Neurospora crassa OR74A: one gene and its partner. The protein of the gene in region 1 interacts with the protein of each later gene in a pairwise test. Links are inferred from orthologs where the notes say so. Each region holds a gene or a part of one and is shown in the gene's direction. Other genes may lie near its edges.

What was found.
Region 2: the proteins of NCU03085 (region 1) and NCU03748 interact in a two-hybrid assay, tested with the Saccharomyces cerevisiae proteins (2 studies listed by BioGRID). The link is inferred for Neurospora crassa OR74A from reciprocal best matches to the Saccharomyces cerevisiae genes LSM8 and LYS9.

The regions. Positions count from the first base shown.
Region 1 is NC_026501.1:4,492,539-4,497,280, reverse strand, and holds NCU03085 (small nuclear ribonucleoprotein Lsm8), read left to right. Parts: upstream 1-2,078; 5' UTR 2,079-2,558; coding exon 2,559-2,592; intron 2,593-2,749; coding exon 2,750-2,826; intron 2,827-2,932; coding exon 2,933-3,124; 3' UTR 3,125-3,606; downstream 3,607-4,742. Other genes in the region: NCU16385 (glutaredoxin domain-containing protein), read left to right, coding at 1-98; NCU03086 (HpcH/HpaI aldolase/citrate lyase family protein), read right to left, coding at 155-682, 735-760, 818-910, 973-1,156; NCU03084 (inosine-uridine preferring nucleoside hydrolase, variant), read right to left, coding at 3,607-4,572, 4,640-4,674, 4,737-4,742. UniProt on the Saccharomyces cerevisiae protein: Component of the nuclear LSM2-LSM8 complex, which is involved in spliceosome assembly. The LSM2-LSM8 complex plays a role in the biogenesis of the spliceosomal U4/U6-U5 tri-snRNP complex by accelerating PRP24-mediated annealing of U4/U6 di-snRNA.
Region 2 is NC_026505.1:2,286,408-2,291,687, forward strand, and holds NCU03748 (saccharopine dehydrogenase), read left to right. Parts: upstream 1-1,997; 5' UTR 1,998-2,281; coding exon 2,282-2,295; intron 2,296-2,404; coding exon 2,405-2,487; intron 2,488-2,584; coding exon 2,585-2,862; intron 2,863-2,921; coding exon 2,922-3,893; 3' UTR 3,894-4,277; downstream 4,278-5,280. Other genes in the region: NCU03747 (hypothetical protein), read left to right, coding at 1-713; NCU11261 (hypothetical protein), read left to right, coding at 4,811-5,280.

The DNA.
Region 1 (4,742 bases):
AAGAAGACCCCCAACTCTCCTCCAAGGCCGTCAAGTTGATGCACCGCTTCACGGTCGAGCAGGTTGAAGCTAAAATGAATCAAGTCGAAGAGTCATGAGAGAGGCTATCCTATTATTGGCACTCGTGTGCGTCGATACCAGGGCCTCATTCTCATTAATACGATGCCGGCTTGTCCTGCTTCCCTTGGCCCCGTGCAATGCTTAGGCTGTCCGCCATGGCAGCTCCCAACAAAGTGTAATCCGTTGCGACACTGATCATATGGAATCCCTTGTCGGCATACTGCTTGGCCTGCTCTCCGCCTGTGCAGAAGATGCCGCACTTTTTGCCTGCCGTTACGGCAGCCTTCAGGATCCTGTCAATAGCCTCATCTAGCTCCGGATCCATCTTTCCCTCGATAATCGGGTGGCCGATATTGTTACCCAAGTCAAAAGGACCAATAAAGATGACATCCACAAGCGGAGCTATCTCTTCAACACAGTCCAAGGCTTCCTGTGTCTCGATCTGCACCATGGTCAAGAGACTCTCGTTCGCTTGCTGGAGGTATTCGGTGAAGGTTGGCATGGGGTTGAAGTTTTGCATAGCGATGGGTGATCCAAACCCTCTCTTGCCTTCGGGTGGGAACTTTGCCGCGGTAACCAAGTTTTTGACATCCTCAACAGTCCTGATGAGCGGCGCAAGGATCTGGAGCACGTCAGAAAAATGTCTCCAACACAGGATACTCTTATACACTCACTCCATGCGCACCACTATCCAACGCTCCTGTAAAGGGTACATCAGTAACCGTCTGAGTGATAAGGCAATACGAATGGCACTCACGCTTGACCATCGATGGCTGAAGGTCTGGGATCCGGACAATAGGAGAAACGCCCAGGGCAGCAATGGCCGGAACTGCTTCGTGCATCGCAGCATCTGACCAATATCATTCAGCTCAACAAGCCCCATCATTCACCACCGTATTACGGGTTACCTACCGTCGATGTTTCCATGCTCGCAGTCAACCATTACCCAGTCAGCCCCCGATCGAGCGAGAATCCTCGAGATATTGGCCCCGGGTAGCATCTGCCAGACACCCATAGCAGGGCGGCTTTCCTGGGTGAAGATTTGCTTCAACGAATTGGCCGCCAGCATCTTGGAAGTTGGGTTACCGGAAGACATTGTACGGAGTTGGTGAAGCGGAGTGACGTGAACGACTTTGTTCAGTGAAGAGATATGATGCTTCAGGAGTTTTAACGTACGAAGGGGAGGAAAGGCATGCCAAGTCAGTGGGGATGCAGGTGGAAGCTCGGACTAAGTCAACCCGAACTCTTTTAAAGCAAATCCGATAACACACAGTACACACTATGATTTCAAAGTTGATGTGCAGCTCCGAACCAAGGTCCCGCCGCCACATACTCGAGGTCAACTGTAATAACCTGACGGCAGATGGCGAGGAAATGTACTGGCTGCGTTGGGTGAACAAGTTCAATTGCTGGCCAATTTGGTACACCTTCGGGAGATGTTCGTCCCCTGCCTTCGTCCAAGAGATACACAGTAGGGCGGGGCTCCTACTGCGGGGTTCGCGTCTGTATCTCCCTCCGCATTCGGTTCTACCTAGGCTGTTCTGACTGGAGACACCACAACCTCTGCCGGTATTCGGATTATTGACATGTTCAAACTTTCCGAGTCACGGGAACGGCAGGTTCAATGGGCTTGAATGGTCTCATGGAAGTCCTTCAAGCCATGGTGGACGTTGACATCCGCATCTTGGCCCTGCTATACGTATAAGCTTCCACAGAATTTCATAGGGCTCTTTGAGACTGCCGCAAGTCAGCGACGAGAAGCTCCAGGAGGAGAAAGCTCTGCATTTCTGATGGTAGACCATACGATGATGAAGGCAATTATTCAAGCAGCAACCGAAAACAGTTGAGGGCTGCATTGACACCCCAAAGCGGATAAAAGTAAACAAAGCAACCCTCCCGAATGAAAAGGGGCAAGCTGATGGGTGAGCGTCGCTTTTGCGGCAGGCAATTGAGTGGAGAATGGATCCGCTTCAGAAGCTCCAGCCTTCACCACAGTGCTGGTACGTTGTCTGCCGTGAGCCGTCGTCAGTGATCTGGGCTTGGCGATTCTACGGAAGAACAAGAGAAGCTCCAGCTTCAACGGCGACGTTCTTGTCCCATCCCCACGATTTAACCACATCCCTCCCCGCCAGCATTACGTACCCACTATTCTTCTTTGACGCGGCGCGCCGACCAGGTTGTATTCCTCTTTCGCGATCGGTCAACGAGAAACGAAAACATCAATAACCACGAACCAATTGCCCCATTCGAAGCGACGAACGACCAAACGACCCCATCCGGCCGGGCTTACCAAGATCACACGAAGCGAACAAATTGCCCTCGAGTTGAACCGACGACTTTCTGTCTGCAACCACGTGTTTCGCTTGAATCAATACTCTTCAAGTTAGACCGTGGGCTTTACGTGATACTTTGCTTATCACCGCGGTCTTGGGCCCGCGCATTGCCGGTACGAGAAAACACACAAAGACTACAGTAATAGCATCTACTCATCCGTCACCATGTCGGCGGGCTTGGTAAATTCGTACCTCAACAGTTGGTCTACCCTTCTACCTGAGCCCTTCGGCTTTTTCGACCCCTCTTCCTCTTTCCTCCATTGCTTCGGTCACAAGATCAATTGGTCACGGCATCCCAAAGTTAAAGGATATTCGCAAGACCAGAAAGCTAACAGATCCATCTTTCGTTACTTTAGAAAAGGTTTGCATAATTACAGTCGATGGCCGCACCTTAGTAGGCACACTGATCTCGGTAGACATGAGCACGAATGTGGTCAGTATATGCTCCCTCCCAATCCATACTTCGATACAGTTCCTCTGCCACCTGATAAACAAAACAAAGCATATCGCGAACGACAACTAACCCTCCAACAAACTAGTTCCTACAAAGAGCAGTTGAACGAGTCATTCGCTCCCCCGATGATGACGAGCCCTCGGCCGAGATCGAGCTGGGAACGCACATGATTCGCGGGGACACGGTCTGCCTGGTTGGGTTGGTTGATGAGCCGCTGGACGAGAGCATAGACTGGACCAAAGTCAAGGGGGCTACGATTGGGACGACAAAGCACTAGAATATACCACCGAACCATTGAACCGTTTCTGCGCTATACCTGAGCGCGTGAAGCATGGTGTCACGCTCCCTCAAAACCAAGAAGAGGAGGCAGGAGAAGGAAACCAAGGGGAAAAAAGACAAAAGTCGAACGGTGTGGCGGTCGCGGGCAGTTGACATAAAGGACAACACCGGTGGATAATGTGCGTGGCACACAAGATTTGGTTGCATCATTAGCATTTGACACGCGGAGCTACAGGTTTTCTTTTACTACATTGGTATGCCCAATCGACGATCTTTCTTCCCCTCTTACTTCCCCGTTAAGACTTATGCTGACCGACGAAGAAAAAATAAAACAAGGTGTCACGGGCAGGTCCAGCTCTCGGTTTAAGGAACCCAGCGAATATTGATTTCAGATACCCCAGATCTCAAAAACTCCGCGTGGAATAGATTCGCTTTCTATATACAAAAGAAGAAGAAAATCAACAAGTGCTGCCGGCAGGTTCAACCAAAGAGTCTATCCATCAAGATGGCGGCAAACTTCTCGTCGCCGGGGGTCTTGACCATCCTGTTAATTCTGTTTCCCTTGTTCACGCTTAGCCAGCCCATGTCGTCTCCGGGGACATCGTCAAAGGTGGTCGCATCCAGAGGATCCGACGGATGCGTCTCCACCTTGCTTGACTGCTCACCCGGCTTCGCCCTCTGTCGTCTGTCGATGACATGCATGCCCCTGGTCCATTGGCCGGAGGTCTCAATTCTAATATCTTCCGGCTTCGCCACGGGTTCCCATGCGGGGTCATCCTGGGTCAACATGTACCAAATGCATGCCGGGTCATGGAGGGACAGACCGGGCTCACTGCCGTCGCCAAGCATGGCTTCGACTTTGTTGAAGATGCCTGTCATGAAGGTCTCGATCCACAGCGCAAGCGGGCTGCCGGACTTGGTGATCGGCTGGATGGTCTCGTAGAAGTACTTTTTCCTCAGCTCGAGCGGGGTGGTGATATCAAGAGGGAAAAGGGTCAGCTTAAGCTGCTTGGAAAGCTTGGCGGGGTAAGGGGGCAAAAAAGATTTGCCGTGGATGACAGGGGGCATGGTCGAGCTCGGGTTGGGCGAGGTCAGGGCGTAGACGCGGGCGGCGGCAACGGTATCGGCGAAGCAGTTGAACTCGGCGACGGGGGTCACGTTGCCCTCGACGTTTACGGCACCACCCATGACAACCAGCTCCTTGGCGCGCAGGAAGGTTTCGGGGTCCTCAGCAGCGGCCAGCGCCACGTTTGTCAGGGGACCAACGGCAACGACGGTGACGGTGTTCTCGGGCGATTCCTTCAGGACACGGAGAATCTCCTTGTGCGCTGGAGCCTTGCTTGGGGTGAAGTACTTGGAGTACGAAGGAGGCTCGACTTTTTCACCCTGGGGCTCTTCGTCGCTGAATAGAGAGCGCCAGGTGTCGGCGGGGGAAAGATGAGGTTGCTGGGGCGGTGGTCAGGTCAAACGTACCATGACAAGAAACGCAACGCAGTCCTCGGAGTTCACTTACCTTCTCGTGGACACCATGTAAACCGTCGGCACCATCTGCAATTTGTTAACTGCTTTGTTTCTGAGGGAAAAGCGGTGGGGGTCTCAGTCTGTCTTACGGAAGT
Region 2 (5,280 bases), on another chromosome or scaffold:
AGGTGGCATATTCCCAGCCTTACCCTCAGGAGTCCGCGATGGCGTTTGCTCCCTACCCGTCCTATCAAGACTTTGGCGCTTGCACACAGTTTCAGCAACTGCCCCCAACCCCAAGCGTGTACTCCGGCTCCAACTCGCCATGCTCGGCGTCCTTCTCCCCGCTCTCACTTCCCTACCCCAGCGTCGATTTTCAGCAATCACAGCATCAGTATGCCTCGCCAGGGATTCAGCTCTACCAACCGGCTCCAGAATCACCCCAAAGTATGGCTGGCATGGTCGGCGATATTTCTTACGCCGATTTCTCCAAGGCGGAAGGCAATGTCATGGGATGGACTTCCTATGCGCCGTCATCGAGCGGCTTGGACACATACACAGCGCCGCCTACACCGAATAATTTCGAGCTGCCAGAGCAGTTCACCAACACCAAGGTGGCCTCTGAAGAGCCTGTTTCCTATGAGGCACCGGAAGACGACGAATCTGATGGCGAGATTCTGTACGGCATGGGACTGTACGACCCCCCCGAGACCCACGAGCCCGCCGACATGGACTTTCACCAGTCTACCGTCTCTTCACTTCTTGGAAACGCCGCAGCCTACGAGAAGCCCTCCGGCAAGGGTCTGAAGCTCGAGGACGCATGGGAGCCTCCTGCCAGCGACGATGAAGAGGACAATGAAGAGCAGGAAGATGACGAGGAGGAGGAAGAGGAAGACTAAGACTCACGAGATTATGACACTTGCATGATGAAATATTGAGAAGAAGCATTACACCGGCGACGGTTTGGGACACGCATAGCATTTACGGGACGGATTCCTAGAAAGGCATATGGGCTGGAAGCCCTATCGAAGATGCATCGACACATCAGGAATGTGTGGCTAGGCGTTTTGGTTTGCGTTTTTTTTTTTTCCCTGTTTTGTTTAGGAGACAAAGATACCCACCTCTGCAAATAAATACATGTACATATCTGAACAACATGCGATCTCACTGTCCTTGATTCACACCACCATCTCTTATTCCTTGGCCGCCGTGCATGCCTGCAAATGTGATGTCTTGCTGAGTGTTCATAGTGACTCTCATCGTGAGCTTGTTGGGACGTCCCTGAATCAAGCCAAGAGTGATGAATAAGCGGCCAGCCGTCAGGGGAAGTGAATCCGTCAAATACTTGGGGGGTTCTGGGCGCCAAGGCTTTCTTTCCCCCCTACATTCCATGTAGGGGGAGCCGAAAAGTTGGGACGGTATTTTAAAATGGGACATCTGGAATCTTAGCGTTTCCTATACAAAAGTGTTAACGGAGGGACATCGATCATCATTGTACCACGGAACCTTTTTCTAAAATTCCAAGAAAATTTGAGAAGTAAAAGGACACGTCTAGAAAAGCGTACCCAAAATTGCATCAATTTTGGCACAAACATTAGGGAGATAGAAGCGATAGAAGTATCTTTCACTATAGAATCATCACCTTCGTTCGGCGTAGTGCAGCACACTGAAAGCGACAATATATAGTGTATAAAATACATTTGGACCTTACCATCTACTCATCTTTAAGGATGATTTTTTCAAAGCTTCTAAAATGGTTCCTATAAGTAAGAATTCTATACCTGAATTTTTCTAGAATTTTAGAAAAAAGTTTCGTAGTAGAATTGCTGACTGAAGTCGCTTCGCTAACACTTTTGTATAGGAAACGCTAAGATTCCAGATGTCCCATTTTAAAATACCGTCCCAACTTTTCGGCTCCCCCTACATGGAATGTAGGGGGGAAAGAAAGCCTTGGCGCCCAGAACCCCCCAAGTATGTTCCAGTCCCTGTTTGTGGTTCGCCAGAAACATGCACTACCCATCGGTTGACAGCTGCCAAGAGTGACTGGCGACCAGCTAGACTGTACCTCTACTGTAAAGTCCGGCAGGCAAGCTGGTGTTGCTACCCCGCCAGTGAGTGCTTGGCGCCAATTGGAACGACACCAGTGCGCCTTGGGTGCCCCTCGTTTGAGGTCAGGAAAAAAAAAAAAAAAAAAATGGAAGAAAGCGACTGACCAGAAGCCGTTATCGGCCGGAGCTCCACCAATTGCATCTCCAACCGCGAGCGATGAAGTGCGAGTCAAGTCTGGATATCGGTTGTTAGCGGACAAGGACGGCAATAACACCATCGAAGTCACCTATTGCCGGCTTGAGAGCATGCAGTGTGGGGGATCTAATTCTGATTCTTTCTCTCCTCCGGATTTAACCTGACAAACACCAAAACACTGCGTCTGAATCACATCAGCTTGCAGATATCACAAGTCGCAAAGATGGCTTCCCAACAGTAATGCCATCCCCCTTACCCCCCCTACATACATCTCCCCCGCCATCCTGCCCTCACCTCGGGCAACCGCAAGAGCTGGGGATGCTGACCTCAAGTTTCATGTCTTCAGCAAGGTTCTCATGCTTGGCGCTGGCTTCGTCACCCGCCCTACTCTCGATGTCCTCAGCGAAGCTGGCATTCCCGTCACCGTCGGTACGTCAACAGTCAATTATAACAATGCACCTCTTGTTCGACAGTCCGGAACGAAAATACGGGCATTTAGGCTGACATTTGCGCTTGTGCGCGACAGCCTGCCGTACTCTTGCCTCTGCTCAGAAGCTCTCTGAGGGTGTTAAGAACGCCACCCCCATCTCCCTCGATGTCACCAACGATGAGGCTCTCGACGCTGAGGTCGCCAAGCATGACCTTGTCATCAGCTTGATCCCTTATACCTTCCATGCCACCGTCATCAAGTCGGCTATTCGCCAGAAGAAGCACGTCGTTACCACTAGCTACGTCTCTCCCGCTATGATGGAGCTCGATGCCGAGGCCAAGGCCGCCGGCATTACCGTCATGAACGAGATTGGTGTAAGTCCATGACATATTAAATGTTTCGAAGCTTTCAATCATACTAAGTCGCTCGGCAGCTCGATCCCGGTATCGACCACTTGTACGCCATCAAGACCATCGATGAGGTCCACCAGGCCGGCGGCAAGATTCTCTCCTTCCTGTCCTACTGCGGTGGTCTCCCCGCCCCCGAGGACTCCGACAACCCGCTCGGTTACAAGTTCTCCTGGTCCTCTCGCGGTGTCTTGCTCGCTCTCCGCAACGCCGGCAAGTGGTGGCAGGATGGCAAGATCGTCGAGGTTGAGGGCAAGGACCTCATGAAGATGGCCAAGCCCTACTTCATCTACCCCGGCTACGCTTTCGTCGCCTACCCTAACCGCGACTCTACCATTTACAAGGAGCGCTACAACATTCCCGAGGCTCAGACCGTCATCCGTGGCACTCTCCGTTACCAGGGCTTCCCTCAGTTCATCAAGACTCTTGTCGACATCGGTTTCCTTGACGACACTGCGCGCGAGAGCCTGAGCAAGCAGACTCCCTGGAAGGAGGCCACCAAGGAGATCGTCGGTGCTGCTTCTTCCAGCCAGGCCGACCTCGAGGCCGCCATCCTCTCCAAGGCCACCTTCGAGTCCGCCGAGGACCAGAAGCGTATCCTCAGCGGGCTCCGCTGGATCGGTCTCTTCTCTGATGAGACCATCACCCCCCGCGGCAACCCTCTCGACACCCTCTGCGCCACTCTTGAGCAGAAGATGCAGTTCGAGGAGGGCGAGCGCGACTTGGTCATGCTCCAGCACAAGTTCGAGATTGAGCACGCCGATGGCTCCCGCGAGACCCGCACCTCGACCCTCGTCGAGTACGGTGACCCCAAGGGCTACTCTGCCATGGCTAAGACCGTCGGTGTTCCTTGCGCCGTCGCTGTTAAGCAGGTCCTGAGCGGCCAGATCTCTGGCAAGGGCGTTCTGGCTCCTATGAGCACCGACATCACCGAGCCCTTGATGAAGGAGCTCCACGAGAAGTACGGTATTACCATGATCGAGAAGACCATCTCCTAAGCTCAATGCGAAATTCTTGATGGACTGGAAGATGATGAAGAGAAGAAGAGTACTCTTTGACTAGGACGCCGAGTTTTAAATACCATGAGCGAAGCGACTGGACGCAAAGGAGGTGTTTATCCCCGATCGGACATGGAGTAGATCGAAGGCTGTGCAATGGCGGTGCTTCAGCGAAATACGAAGATACCAAATAGATCCAGGGTTGAAAAAAAGGAGAAAAGGGGAGGGAACTCGCCCGGAAAGGTACAGATGACTCATGAAGGTGGCATGTCCAACCCCCCCGGTTCATGGAGAGGCATGCCATGATACCGTAGTGGGCTATGAGGGCATGTAGGCATGGAAATAGGTAGTTGTACGAATTGACACCGCATGTTGAAGCCCTTATGAATTTCCGTCTCGCAACGCGAATTATTTGTTCGAATGACGCTGGAACCGTTCAAATAAGCCTGATCAGGTTGTGATACCCATCATGGTTGTCTCTTGAAGTGATTTGAGAAATATAGCGGTCGTGAGGCCTCGGGCACGCAGAGCTGTAGAGCTCAAAACGTGATCCAAGAAAACGGTGCAATTGAAAAATTGTTTGAGAGGTCCGTGTCCGACACAAAACAAGCATTTTTCCACTACCACCGCGGAAACCAAAACAACCGATCAAGAGATGACAAGGAGACAGAAATGTTCATACAACTGATTCGCACCGGCTTCCTATTTCATTGTGGTGTTTATGGATGAGCTTCATATTTCATGTCATATGAGAAAATTCTACTGCCACGCGATTCCGCCAACTCAAATTTCATCCTGACCGCAAAGCTCAAGACTCAGCGAACCAAACCAAAAACCGGACAGGATCCTGTGATCGAGACAACGCCAAACTGCCATCACAACAACCACTACCGAATTTCAAGGGCGCAAAAGAGGAAATGGTTCAGTATATCTTCACACCCTGGCGCGACCGTCGCGAACTCCTCGCTGTTCGCCGGCAATTTTACCCGCACCAGTACGGAAGCCAGGCAGCATCACAACCCCAACAACTGTCGCAAAGAGGAGGAGGAGGAGGAGCAGGAGCAGGAGCAGGAGCAGGAGCCAAACGAGGACGTGCAGCACAAAATACCCAGCGCACCACTCGAAAACGGGCAAGAACCGATGGCGCTGCCATTTCCTCCGAAACAGAGAAGGAGGATAACAATGACCGACAAGACCGACATGGAGGAGACGAACGCCGCCTAGCCGTCGCCCGCGTCTCCATGTGGATGCAGCGCGGCAACTGTCCACACATGGTGGAATCGACTGCCCTGCTCATGGCCGCGATTCTTAGTGACGAAGAGCAAACCGGCATCGCTGGCAGCTCGGGCACTGCTAGTTCTTACGGTACTTTAGGCACGGGCATGGT